2 linked regions of the Lepisosteus oculatus genome follow. The protein of the gene in region 1 interacts with the protein of each later gene in a biochemical or structural test. Links are inferred from orthologs where the notes say so. Each region holds a gene or a part of one and is shown in the gene's direction. Other genes may lie near its edges.

Evidence for each region.
Region 2: the proteins of myo6a (region 1) and dab2 form a complex in vitro, tested with the Homo sapiens proteins (7 studies listed by BioGRID). The link is inferred for Lepisosteus oculatus from reciprocal best matches to the Homo sapiens genes MYO6 and DAB2.

Annotation. Positions count from the first base shown.
Region 1 is NC_090697.1:9,138,204-9,145,212, reverse strand, and holds the start of myo6a (myosin VIa), read left to right. Parts: upstream 1-4,004; 5' UTR 4,005-4,150; intron 4,151-4,959; exon of another isoform or gene 4,960-5,084; intron 5,085-7,009. UniProt on the Homo sapiens protein: Myosins are actin-based motor molecules with ATPase activity. Unconventional myosins serve in intracellular movements. Myosin 6 is a reverse-direction motor protein that moves towards the minus-end of actin filaments.
Region 2 is NC_090698.1:23,189,079-23,196,913, forward strand, and holds the start of dab2 (disabled homolog 2), read left to right. Parts: upstream 1-4,812; 5' UTR 4,813-5,028; intron 5,029-7,835. UniProt on the Homo sapiens protein: Adapter protein that functions as a clathrin-associated sorting protein (CLASP) required for clathrin-mediated endocytosis of selected cargo proteins.

The DNA of each region.
Region 1 (7,009 bases):
TACCACTTTTCTGGACACTCCACTCAAAGCACTTTACAGGTAAGGGGGACTCCCCTCCACCACCAGGACACGAGGGTAACACACTTACTCTTTTTTTTTTTTTAGTCTTTTCGAGAGACGCCCTGGGATTTTTAATGACCACAGAGAGTCAGGACTTCGGTTTTATGTCTCATCCAAAGGACGGCGCCTGTTTACAGTATAGTCTCCCCGTCACTATACTGGGGCATTAGGACCCACATGGACCGCAGGGTGAGCGCCCCCTACTGGTCCCACTAACTCCTCCTCCAGCAGCAGCCTTAGTTTTTCCCAGGGGGTCTCCCATTCAGGTGCTGGCCAGGCTCACACCGGCCGAGCTTCAGGGGGTCGTCAGTTGTGAGTTGCAGGGTGACATGGCTGCCGGATAGCGATTAGCTTTGACCTTGCTCGCTAAGGAACTAAGAGCACCCAAATGATGCCAGGAAAATGGTGAAGTCAGGAAAATCACTGAACAAAGTGCACTTTCACGGTTAATCTGTAAGAGAAGACATCAGTGATCAGACTGTTGAAATCAGCCCGCAGATGGAGGCCAGGAAGTGCAAGATGAAGAAGAGGGAGGGCTCTGTCCAGGGCTAGAACTTCTTGGCAGAAGATGATCCCCCGTGATCAGGAAAGACCTTGGATAGAATGGAACGAACTGGAAACTAGGCTGGCTGATACAAGGAGATGGCCAATGTGCTGTGGGTGACCCGATGGGCAGGCAAGCACAGGGAGGACCAAAGAGACGCTACTCATTCTACACAGTTCCACAGTTATTTCAAGGAATTCCAAGAACTGTCCGGAAAATAAAAGCAAAAACGTAAAAGCGATGAGTATCAAGATTCGTGTGACAGATTAACACATTTAATGGTTCATTCTGTCTTGTTACTTGACCTATAATGGACTAGCACAATGGCATTAGCATGGTATGATTTTCCAGCATGTGTGGTTTTGATGACCCCAAGAAAGTAGGCTCTTAAAATATTTGCACATTTAGATATTTAAAATGTGATTACATTTACAGTGAAAAGTAATTTACAATTATTATTATTAAGTATTGGGTATTTATTGTAGCTCTAATGGTTTGCCGCTGATAGTGTCTTACATTGTGCTGCTTATTTCACACATGGCAGCCGCTGTTGCTGCAAAGCAAATTAAATTTTAAACTCTCAATTTATTTATGTGTATGCAGTAAATGAAAACCAAGCAAAAACACTCACAAAAAAACCCTCTTCAATGTGGCATAGGTAAATGTATAAAGAATAAATCTGAAGAAAGCAGTATTTCATTAAACCTTAAAACACATACGTAATTACGTTTTCAACATCTTTGTACAGAAATGGCATTATGTCAAGATAATTCTCCACATGACTAAAACGAATCAAATCATAATCAAATGGAATGAGGTACCATCCAGTTTCTGAAACGTCTTCCAGCATTTACATGAAGTGTGACTCAGAGGTTTAGACCCAGCAGATTAAACATAATGAAATAAAATAACATGTAAACATTTCAAGAAACAAGTTTTTGCCTCATTGTTCCAACACAGAAAAATGATACAGTTGCCAGGCTTAATGTATCAGGTGTCCAGCTAATTAGATGTGCTCACCCTGTATTGCCTTTCAACCTGGGATAAAATGTCTCCTTTAAAAATACTTAAAAAGTTTTATGTTACTGGATAGTTAAAAATTGATGAACAATAGATTGGCATGTGTTGTATTCTTGTGGAAACCATGGTGATGTTAAAATCTACCTCACCTTACATTTCCACTTCAAGTGCTCTCTGAAGGATGCCGTCTCTGTATTGGAAAAACTCCCAACAGCAGAAACATAAATTTCCTCGAAGTGGATATTTAATTTTTCTTTGAACTGCTTGTATTTTTTTGCTAAACTGTTGATGTCTGCTTGATAGTATTAGCAACACTCTCAAAGTGTTCAAACACAAGAACTAATGAATTCTACCCCCCAACGCAACATAAACGATAATTAATAACTGTTTTTTTGTATTACAAGATATAAGTTTAACATTATTATTTGTAATAGGTACAAGCTTATAATATCCATTCACTTTGAATCTGTTCCTATGGATAACTGAGACCTTTATTGGAATATATTTAATAATATAAAGTAGCAAGCTTCTAATTAATCTTAAACACAAATGAAATCTGCTACTTAAAGTGCTTCGTTTGTGTTTTCTTTGCAATTAATAACTTAGAAACAACCTTTAAGACTTATCACTTATTAAAACTTAAAAAGGTTACAATAATATTCACAGCATTTGTGTTAATTATATTCTGTTATTTAATGTTTTTATTTACTTTCTTGTGTGCTTTATACTTTTTTGTTACCTGACACAAGGTTTAAGTTTCCTCTGCAAATTCTAAACCTTGATTAAATTAAGGCCTTCCCCTGCCCATCAGTCCTCCTGTCCATTTCCCTAACCACTTTATCCAACTCAGGGCTGCAGAGAAGCCAGAGTGTGTCCTGTCAAGCAATGGGCATAAGGCACCACTCCATCACAGGGCATACAGACAGACACGCTCACTCAAAACAGGGCCAATTTACAGAAGCCAATTAACCCACCAGAATGTTTTTGGACTGTGGGAGGAAACCAGAGCCCACACGGGGAAACAAACATGCAGAGCACATACAAGCTCCACGCAGACAGCACCCCAAGACTGGAATTCAGCTTGGGGCCCCACTGCTGTAAATCAGCAAGGCTAACACACATTATAAATACAGTACATGACATCACCTTTTGAATCATAGAGTCTTTTTTGCTCCTATGTAATGGGAATCTACCATCAACACTTGGGTGCGCAATTTGCATTGTGATGAAGGGTTTAATGTTTCTATTCCGGGTCCTCGTCTTTCCAGAATCTTCCAGATGCCAGGCGCAGGTTCCGTCTTTTAAAAACAACACCACTTCGCACTCATTTCGCTTCTTATATTTGATAAAGTGCAACTAACAAACGGCTCATTAACACGTCACTACAGTGCAACTGGAATTGTGAGCTTCATTCTTTCACGCAGATTGGATTAATCATCCAAACGTTTTATCATTAAAAGCAGTTATCATTTATGGGGTCCGTGTCTCGTCAGCTGCAGGTTTAGGGAACGAACAAAAAGGCTTTTAAGGAGTTAACCAAGAGGTGTTGCACGGTCCGCCAGACACGGCATCTGACTAAGTTTCACTCAAGGTATATGTGATCCCGACAGGTTACACTTCCCGAAGGACTTCTGCTGCCAGGTGACTTGAACTACACCGGCACCGGCAGATGTCAGCTGGAGCGTCTCTGGGGAGCTGCAGCTCCACATGACGATACAAACCGATGGAAACCAGTGGTCCGGTTTAATAAAGCGCCACTGACACGGGGGCAATAAGCTACATATTATTCCACCACGGCATTAAAAAACTCATTTTTTAAAAAACGCTAGTCCAACATGGTATGCTTACTATAATACTAACTTCAGTGCTCGATGTGTTTGGCTCCGCTCGGTTAACTCTAGAACTTCTTGAAAAAGTGATCTTTACATTTCTGACCCGAAGGCATTAGGAGAGAGTCGCACACAAGAACTATAATAAAAAAATAAGCAACCATAAAAAGACCCAAAAGTCAATTACCGCCTTTTCACTCAAAAGCCACATTTACGTACACAGTACATATTATTTGGATCAACTAGCAAAAATATAAGAATATGAAAGCTGTGTGTACCTTATCTTTATTTGCCTCATTTAACCTTTTTTGTAAGATGCAACTGATGGTGTTATATGTACTCTTGTGCGTATTATATATACATCACTGCTGTTACAATAATAATAATAAAAAAAAGAAACTAAAAAAGTCACGCCTTATCTCCAGCCGCCCCGACACAGGCGGCTCACGAAGTCACCCGTCTGCAGCGCCCCCTCTCGGCCGGCCGCGGCTGCGCCTCTTCCAGTGACGTCACGGCCATTTCCCAGGACGTCTTTCCCAGCGAATTGGAGAGCCGGGGCTGCAGCAGGAAGAGGAGCACGGGGAGACCGGAGCCGGGATCTGCGGCTAGGGATCACTTAGGGAAACTTGAACTTTCTGTGTGCACAAGAAGAAGAAGAGGAAATCGCCCCGGAGGACGTTCGGAAAATCGGGACAGAGTAAGTTCCTGTACAACTTTCTGCCTGATTGAGCGTTTTGGATGATGGGGGGGATGTCGTTCAGTTCTGTCGCACTCCGGCTTTGAAACATTAAAGTAGAAGGAAAGGCTCGCCGGTAATGCTGATGCTAATGGAGGCTGTCAAAACACAGGAAGAGCTGCCACTTCATTTAAACTCCCTTCCAGTCCCACAAGCACAGCGACCCGGATTCTGAAAATCCTGTGGTTTACAAATCCAAGCGTGGGATTTCTTTACTTGGTGAATTTGCATATCTTGCAGCGTGAGTTATATTAATTGCACCGCTGATAATATTGCCGGGCAGTAAATACAGATAAAACTAGTGTAAATGTGTCTGTCGGTCGCTTGACTTGTTTTTTTTCCTAGATCCATCCTCTTTTCCTTTATCATCATTTGTATTTGGGTTATCGGTAGCAAAAAAAAAAAAAGAACCGTTTTATTAAGCGTGAACTTGAGTAAATCCTCGGATCCTAGCTTTTTCTGGGCTGTGAAGAGTAATCCGAAGAAATGGCACTTGATTTGCTCTCTGATTTTCTTAAGAGGTTTTGGATATGGGAAGCTTGACAACTTGGAAACTTACACCGCTACTGATACGGACGCGTGTATGAATCTACCTGAGACGATAAAATATGGAGGAGCAGGGCCTCCTGACACCAAGGAGAGCTGCACTCGAGTTAAATAACTGGGTAGGAAAATCGGAGGTACAAAGGTTGTGGCTGGTAACTAGATGCAGGAATGCCTGAAGGCGTTTGCCATTAGCTTTTGAGATACGGAGGCAAAAAATATTACGTCTCGAGTTAGGTCTCACGCTGCGTTCTTGCTGAAGTGAAACTTTAATTCAAAGTTTAAAGCAGATTTTAGGAGTAGTAGTCTGAATTTCTGACACACGGAAAGTTGGAAGAAGCACCCGCAGGAGGTAGGGCCCCTAACCTAATGAATGGTTTGTTTCTAAAATGAATGGAGAAATCGTTAAGGACAGCCTTTAAAAGGTGCAGTTGACTACCCTTACGCATACTGTAAAAATACTTTGCAATGAACTTGCAGGTAAAGTGGGATTTTAAGTCACGACGCACTGCTATTAAACATTGACTTTTATTTTAAATGTATGCTGTTGATTTTAACCGGTGCCCACCACGTCCTACATTTAAAAAAAGATTTTACATCTAAAATAACGATTTCCTGTTAGGTAGTATTGCTTAAAATCACTTGGACTGCTGTGATTCAATGATAGCAAGATAACTATCTTTCCAATTCACTGATGAATGAAATTGGAATGAATGACATACGTCTAAGACCGCATAGATCAGTATTACTAGTACATATTAGGTGACTGGAAATTGGTTGAAACTTATTGCCTTCAATTACGTTGAATTGTATTATAATTCTGAGCAAGATGTAGCTTTAACATTTAATTAACTTTTAGAAAAAATAAACATTTGTCTAACTGTACGTCTTGTGAAACACCATTATGACTTAACCTTTGTACTGCAAGAGCTATGAATTGTGTGCAGCTGGAATCTTTGGTTTATGAGTGATGGCATAAAAAGTTACACTATGTAACTAATTCTTGAAAATGACATTGTAATACGTTCCTTCAAATCCATATCTTTTGGGTATCATTTAACCATTAGGAATAGTTTCTTTTGCAAATGGTGTGCAGTGGAGTGGAAAAACAGCCTCAGGTTCAAAGGGCTGCTAGTACAGAGTAGGGACTTGGTTAACTATTTCTATAAATATGCAGACACTTCCTGCCAGCGGTGGTTTTACAATTCATTAAGAAACCTTGAGCCCATTTGAAGACCACAGTGCAGAACTGTACGATAAAACACAAACTGCTTTATTCGGTGTAGGAGAGAGAAAGTAAAAACCATAGAAATGCATGACTTAATTTAACGGCAAGATAAATTTAGCTATGATGCATCATTAGACTCTAGGATCTAATGAATGGTGTCAGTGCACACCCTTGGCAAAGAGTGAGTTCCACTTTACAGCACAGTATTGACTGCAGAGGAAAGTTGCAGGGTGAAGCTCATCTCCTGATTTTAACACGGGCATCGGTATCAACCAGGGATTCCAGTTGATGGAGCTGTCCACCCAGCTCCTCCCAGTGTTATTATAAAGGGAACGACACCTCCTTATCTCAGGGCTGATTCCACATGCAGTGGAATTTGGACCGTGTCAAACATTTCCGGGATACACATCTGTGTATTACAAAGCTTGATAAAAGGTGGGGATGTCCTTAGAAGCGACAGTTGGAGAGGAGTGTTTGTTTTTGAAGTGCGGCACCTCGAACTTTTCTTCATCGTCATAAAGTGGAAATGGAGGTTTTTCTGCTTCCAATGCTTATAATTCATTAGTGTGGTTTGATGACATTCATCCATTTTCTAAACCGCTTTGTCCAGTACAGGGTCACCTCTGGATTGGACACCAGTCAGCTGCAGGGCTCACTCAGACCAAAAATATACACCCATTTACACCAGGGCTAATTTACAGAAGCCAGCTAACCTTCCAGCATGTCTTTGGGCTGTGGGAGGAAACCAGGGCACCTGGTGGAAACTGATGTGAACATGGGAGGAACATAGAAACTCCACACCGATGGCACCCTGGGAATCCAAGACGCTGTACCAGCACTACGAGGCAGCAGTTCAAACCAATGTGCTGTTATGTCTCCCTAGTTTATCCACAATTGCCTTTATCTGTATAGTTCCATAATTCAAGTGAACCTATTAGTATACTACAAAGGAACAAGAAAAGGTTTATTCCATGCTGAAAAGAGAAACGCAAATGCAATGTTTCGGCTGTGGAGTCTTCTTTGGGTGTGAAGATTTTGAAACCCGAAGA
Region 2 (7,835 bases), on another chromosome or scaffold:
CCTAGCTGTGGAGAGTCCAAATGAGTAAAACGTAATAGTCCTAATTCAGATATTTTCTAAAAACACTTTATCAATTAAATTAGAAATAGGTTTAACAAAGGGGCAATCCAGTCCATGAGGGCTGAATGTTATTCACATTTTCTTTCTCTCAAATTAACATAACAGACCACCAGCCTAAGTGATCAAAACTAAAATGTATCCAGGTCTTTATAAACCATTAATATAATTGTTACCTGGGTTGGTCCAACCAGTTGAGTTTCTTTTTTATGATGAAAACAACAAATCTTGTAAAATATAAAAGGTAAGAAGTGAAAAACCACTGCTGGACTTCATTCTTTTTTTTTAATTTTATATACAGTAGAATTCATCCTTTGTGTTACTGCTTTATTCAATTCTGGGTCATGGCAGAGCCGGAACCTATTTTATATGGAGTCGTTTGTCATTATCTGTATCATCTCAAAGCACTGGAAAGAAAAGATCTTGACATTTTTTACTCTTGGATGTAACTCTAGTTGCTTTATACTTCACAATTTTCAAATTAATATGAAAGGATTTCTAGTTACACATAATGTATACTCTAGATTTCTGAGCCATTTAAAACATCTGAAAAGAAAAAGATTTGTCTTTATTAACAACATCTCTTTAGCTATTGATTTCACCATCTTGGAGAAAACTTTTGTTGTGATTCAGTGAAGACCGGCTGTAGGCATTAATGTAGAATTTCCTAATACTGCTGCCAAAGAATTCTGCTGAGTTAACAGCAAATAGGCCCTGTGCTTCAAGAAGGAAAAAGAATCTCTGTCAGACATCATTTTTTACTGCCAGTATGAACAATATGGAAGTTGACCTTCACAGACGTGGCTTGAACCTCAACTTTAGCTTTGATAAAAGAGTGACGACAGAAAAGAAACGTGTCTGACATTTTCTGGTTCAATCTTTGAGTTTTTGAGTGGAATATGTGCTTATGTAACTGTTTTTCGCTTTTCAGCTTCCTCCAGACTTACACAGGAAGAAGGGGATAATGAGAAGGGATGCAGGCTGTGTACACAGGCATACCACAATTATCCTAAATTTCACTAGAAACCTTCCTGTTTTTAACATTGTTCTGAGAACGTTAGAAGAGTGCAAAATTGAAAATGAGCTGACCATGAACAATTCTACATTCCATATGAATTAAAAGATAAAAACAAGCTCCTCGTATTCAGTGCTTAGTTATAATAGGCTGCATTTACTTGTCTGAAGCTGAAGGCTGGATCCAAGAGCAGGTACTGTAAGTAGCAACCACTGAGGCAAGTGAACAAACAGTAGCAAAACTGTCCAGAGCTGAAATCGAAAAACCAACAACTGTCGTAGCCAGAGAGACTCAAAATCAAAGCACCACGGGGAATCCATAACAAAGGTCACAGAGTGTAAGCAAAGTCCAAAAACCAGGGAAAACTCGAGCAAGCAATCCAAAGAGAAATCCACAAAATTAAGCTGAAAGAAGCACAGTCAGGAGACAACATAAATTCACAGAGAGGGCCAAGACCAGATTTGAATCTCTAAGACTGAGCACTTGAATATCACAGGAGCAGCTCTTAAACAGCCAGGTGTTTTAACTCGCACAGGTGGGACGACCTTTTCATCGGGATTGGGTTGTCACAGCAACTGGCTGATTGAAAGGTCTTGGCGGTTGCTGTGGTGATTCAGGTGCAGTTTGTGATACTTTGGGTACTGTATGATATCTTATTTATTGTGATCATTGTTTTCTAATGTAATTTTAAGGATCACTAACATAAGAAGGCAGAAAATACCTCATGAAAAACTGTAGGTTATACTATTGTCGTGGACTCTGTACGCTACCCTAGTGCTGGCCATGTTAGGACCAGGCTGTAAATATGATCTACTGCTTGTTGGAACTCCAAGAAACATTTTCGATGTAAGACATGGTTTTTCAGTCTTGATTACAACACCTGGATTGTTTACCACTTCTACACAAAATATAAACTGTTGCTATCTTGCCACAGGTAGTATCACTGTATTTTTGTCAGAGTAAGCACAGTTTCAGTTTCAGCATCCTTCCAAGCTTGGATATCTGTTTCCTTATGATAAGTCTATATTATTTGGGATTTTATTACATGTATGTACTGTAAAGTGTGCAGCATTTAAATCAAAGCAGTTACCAAAGGCATTGTATAACTGTTACACTAATTTCACAATCGAATATTTGCTGATATTACATAAAACCCAGTTTTACTTGGCTTTTTTATAAGAAGAAAGAACAGGGCAAGAGATGAAAACCTTAGCTTTTGTTTTGCCCTTACTTTTAAAAGAGTAAAAGAACAGTGTGATGTAAAACTTGAAGTAGCAGACATCCCAAAAACAACACCATACCCACCAGAACAGCTGGTAAGAGATGGCATAACCAGTTGGATTTCAGCAGTGCAGCTGGATTATTTAACTTTAGGTCTAAGGAGTCACTGTCATGAACAATTACTACTGATTACTGGTTATTACTGATAACTGAAAAAAAGACTTATTACACAAGTGCTCAAGTTTGTATTATCTAAGTGCTTTTACATGAATTATCAACTCTTAAGTTTTTCTTTCATTTTATTTCAGTTTGTATTTACATGATTGCTTGTGAGCCTCTCTCAAGTTACTGTAACCTTCTGGCTTCTTATCATCCATGTCTGTCCAATAGTATCAATGTAATGCATTGTAAGCATATTGTTGTTGAATTACTGTGAGATCCAGTGCTTTTTCAGAATCCTTCATGACACAAAGAGAATAATATTTATTTGATACTTCCAAAGCAAACTCTTTCAAAATCATGTTTAAATTATTTTTAAATTTACATTACATAATTCCTCTCTACATAATTATAATTACTGTAATAACAATAATTATAATTATTATGCAATAATAATTATATTGTTATAATTAATAGAGAGCAGAGTGAATTTCATAATTATATTTACAGGCAACCTTAGACAAGCAAAGCTTGACATGCAAAGCTACCAATAGATGGAAATCCTAAAGTATCCCACTGCTAGTCCAAGATTACAGTAAATCAGATGGCGTTGAAAAATATTTCATAATCTTTAAACTTTTAGTCTCTCTGCAGATGCTGCAAACAGATAAATACGTATACAGTATCATAGCAAAAAATCATGTCTAATTTTAATCTACTGAGAAATAAATCCTCTTGGTTCTTATTGGTGCTGTACAAAATAACAAAACTTTTGGGATTAGAAAAATTGTTATTGAAATTATACACGTGTGATCGTAATTACTACTTAAAATCACAAGGACATCCTGACATCCTGACAGAATAGGTTTTAAAAATCTGTACATTATTACCACAATATACCAATCCTGGTTTCTAAAGCTTATTATTTATTGTTTGAGCAGTAACAAAAATGTAAAGTAACAGCTGAAAATAATATCTTGTATTATTCCATCCGATAATACAAGTAGAGCTTTTAGTTTCTGAAAACAAAAGAGAAAAAAAACATATGCAAATACATTAAATCATGACACAAGGGATGAAAAGTATTATTTTCAGTCTGATCTAAAAAAGGAGTTTAGCTGTAACCCTTCTATAAAAAAAACTTATAATTAAGACTTGAAAATAATAGTTTGTAGTAGGTGGTAGTTTTTTTCTTCTTTTGGTCTTGGTTCTGTAATACCCAGTAGGACTGCCTGTAAGCCCTTGAGTGTTTTACATTTAGGTAATGTGTATTTTATCAAATATTTTTAAAAGAAATACTGTACCATAATGACTGCATGGTTCAAATGGCATCTTTTCATTTGTTAACCTCCCACAGTATATATGATCTCTCTATGCATGTCTTACTCTCTCTCTGTCTCTGTTTTGATTTGGAATATTATGATTAATATTTTAATTCATAAAACTTAGAAGAGTCATAAATTGTTGGGTCAACACACTATTGTCTCATTCTATACACAGGGACACTCAGAGGTTAACTCCACGCTGAACAGTAGGTCATCTGCCTCCTTTACATGTTAAATATTTAGTAACATCCGGTACTAAAACTCTTGTGTAATCCAGATGCCACATTTCAAGTTTTAAAGCTGACAAGAGGAACATTGTAGAATGTAGCAGCAGGTCTGTCAGGGGGTGAGAGGAGCTACAGTACACCGTATTGTACCCATGCCTTCAAATGTAATATTTTGAAAAATATGAAGATGTTTAATTCAATATAGTTACAAAAGCCGTTATGTGTACCATGAACATTACCTTTCCAAGTATTTAAATCACAATTACAGTAAGTTGTTTTGTACATTGAAACCCAGGAACATGATCTTCAAAAGTAAAGCCCTTATTTTCCATGATGATGCAATCTATGTTCATTATTCTGTCAAATTTACTACTCCCTAGTTCCACTGAGAAAACCCTGTTAAAGCAGCTGTAAACTGAACAGTTACTATTTCATTTCAGTCGTTTGTGCTCATGTGCTCATTGTTCAAGGGGTTAATTGACATTTTAGGGGGTCTATTTATAACTTCATGTGGGCCTACGTCTTAACTCACATATTATATTTGTCTTGGACTCAGCTGTTTCTACTCCACCAAATGGAGTAATAAGTTCCATATGTGGATTTTTTTAGAACAGATTTTTGTAAGCGAAGAAATGTTTTGAAGGATCAGGGCAGAGAGTGACTGAATACCGTTATACACCTCATTTAGCATTCGACAAGGCAGGCACTGTTAAAACCTGGGCAACAAGCCAGTTTCTCCTACCTAATACTGCAGTAACTAGTCTTAAAAGAAAAAAAAAACTTTTTACAGTATTGTTTCTGAGTTACACATACAGTACTTAGAAGCTGGAGTTCTTTGTGCTGTCTTTTGAAATGTGCATATTCCTTTGTCACTTTGGCTGTTTCTCCAAAAGACAAATGAAGAAAGCCTTCTGAGCAGTAAGCCACATCTCTTTGAAGTTTTTAAAACAGGAAATAATAAGACAAGGAAATAAACCACCACATTTTCTATTGCATGGGGATACTGGATAAAATAATACATACGGTAGGTGGAAAGGTTGGAATTGCTATGCTCTGGTTAAATTTGTATTGTAAACTGTAATTGTCACATTAATTGTGGATAGAATTGCTTTGCCTGGCATTGGGGGCTATTTGTAAAGTACTGTAACTTTTCCTACAGTAACTCAATCAGTGGAAAAAGTAATAAGGAAAGGCATGTCTCTATGGGTATTCCCCCTGTTTCTATGCAATTTTTACATTACTCTGTTAGTTTTTGTTTTATAGGATTTATTTACAGTACATTTTCCTTGAATGTTTCAAAATGTAGTCAACAGATTTGCTAATATAAATGTTTAAAGCCTACATAATAAAACCAATCATGGCTAAATGGTATAAAACAACATGCTTAACTATTTAGTTTCCAAGGGAATGCAATGTAATGAATACAGTATTAAAGACATTTTTGTGTACATTTTCTGTTAAAGTACCTGTAGTTTATTTCATTCCTATTAAGTACATGGTTTTCATGTATGGAAAATACAGCATAATTTCCATCTTAACAAGGTTTAATTTGTTTATTTAGAGACTGAAAAAAAATCTATGAACAGTTAATTGAATGCTTAAAATAATTAATGAAAATTGTGTAATCTAGTAATCTTGGCATTTTCACCAATGTTAACGTTCCTGTTTTCGCAATATAAAGCATTAAATGAACCTCAGAAATTGCATAGATCATCATCCAGACACTAAAAGAGATGAGGGATAACAATGATCTTTGTGGGTAAACATAATTGTCACTCCAATTTACATACTTAAGAGGAGACAGTAGGGCAAAGAAAGGCTGAGGTGTCTTTGTTTTTTATTTTTACAGCTCTGTGCTGCAACAACAGCTAAAGATGAGGTGCCATCTTCCTTAAAAAAACCTTTACATTCAGGTTAATCTCTAGGATCCCTGTGTCATGGGTTTGAGCCTTGGGTTAACAAAACAAATCCTTGTGTAAGTGTTGAAAGATGATTGTCTCAAAGGGAGAGGTCAGGGGAAGATTGTCAGAGGAGTTTGCCTACACTTCCTTATTTTTCCCTGTGTATGGTTGGGGGTTTGTAGGCTTGTTTGTAGGTCTGAGCAGTGATAAGAGAATTGGTATGATCTATAAGAATATAACTGGAAAAAAATATTTATTTTAAAGACAGCGATTATGCACATACAGTAGTAACATGCCAAACTTGAACTCTTGTTTTCAAATACCAAGTTGTCTCACATGTCCTAGTCACTGTAAAAATAATCATTTGCTCTTGCTCTTTCTCCCTTCAAGGTGCCATTTTGGCAACAGTTATTCACCCTAGAAAAAAACATTGGTCATAATAATAATGAGGCTCATGAACTAAAGATCTAATGTCTCAAACTACCAATGCGCATGCTATTACCAAATGTTTTGGACTGGAGCAAGTTTAAAATGTTACACTCTAATGATAGAGGAAAGAGTGGCTAAGAATCCCTTATTTACTTCTCCATCATACAGTATAAAGCAGGAGTGCTTCATCATATTACATTTTTAAGACCTTATCAAATAATATTTATGCTGACCCATAAACCACCAGCTATTCACTTAAAAGTATTTTAGCAAGTTTTTTTGACTGTTTGCTTCTTCCACATATACAGTAAGACTATGACTAAGATGTCAAAAATTACTTTTATTTTAGCATGTGTAGCATAGAACATCTGGATTTGATCCCACACTGGGCTGGCTTCTGTGAGTTTCACCCTGCGTCCAGCCACATGGGTCTTCTCTGGGTGCTCTAGTTTCCTCCCTCTTAATTGTGTGTGTTTATGCATGGGCCAATGTTGAATTGATGTCCCACCCAGGGTGTAGTCCCATTTTGTGCCCTATGGTCCAGAATGCTAAGACCCTTACTAGGAATAAGCAGATTTCTGCTGGGTGAGTTTTCAACATAAAATGCCATTTAAAATATGTCCATGTTTGAATCATACTAAGGTCCGTAGCTAAAGTTCTGTTTGAATTAGGATAGACTTGGATAAACTGTACAGTTACTTTTTTTGTCACCCTCTTGTGCCTACTGTACTTACTGTTTGAATTAGGATAGACTTGGATATACAGTTACTTTTTTGTCACTCTCTTGTGCCTACTGTACTTACTTTCAAACAATACATTTGAATTAATTTGAAAGTAGTTACTGTACTGGTACCTACTGGTTTCTTTCACGAAAATGCTTGTTGAGATCATTGGATCAACAAACTGCTAACAGCCTAACATGCTAGATGGCTCTTCTTATTTTTTTATGTGTTTAAGTGGAGTGTTATTGAAGGTTCATCAGGGATGACAGTAACCAAGTTTTACTTCACCTCTGCTAATTTAATTTGTATTCCTCCGTGATGTCACTTTCTGGAAAGCTAGAAATACAATTGTAAACCTCTCTGCTCCTTGCATTCATCTTTCATCTCATTCCCACCCCTACACCACCTTTACAACTATCCTTTGATTAACTACTACTGTAGTTAGTTTGAGTTTTAAAGTAGCTCTTCTCTTCCAATTTTGTCTTCAAAGTTAAGTGTCTCAGTCCCTTATAGTTTATAAAGGCCAACCAATCCACTCACTACACTCAGGGATTACCTTAACTGCCATGCTATCATTTAATGCAACTCTCACAGTGAATTTCAAATTGTTACAATAGCTGTATGTTATACTGTAGCTGTAAGCTACTGAACTTAGCAGTATAGTGCTATTTCAACCTAACTTCTACTGTAGTTGGTATAAGATCACTTTATTAGCCATACACAATTACTTGCATTAGGAATTTGTCTTTTCACATACCCCAGCTTGTTCTCCATAAGAC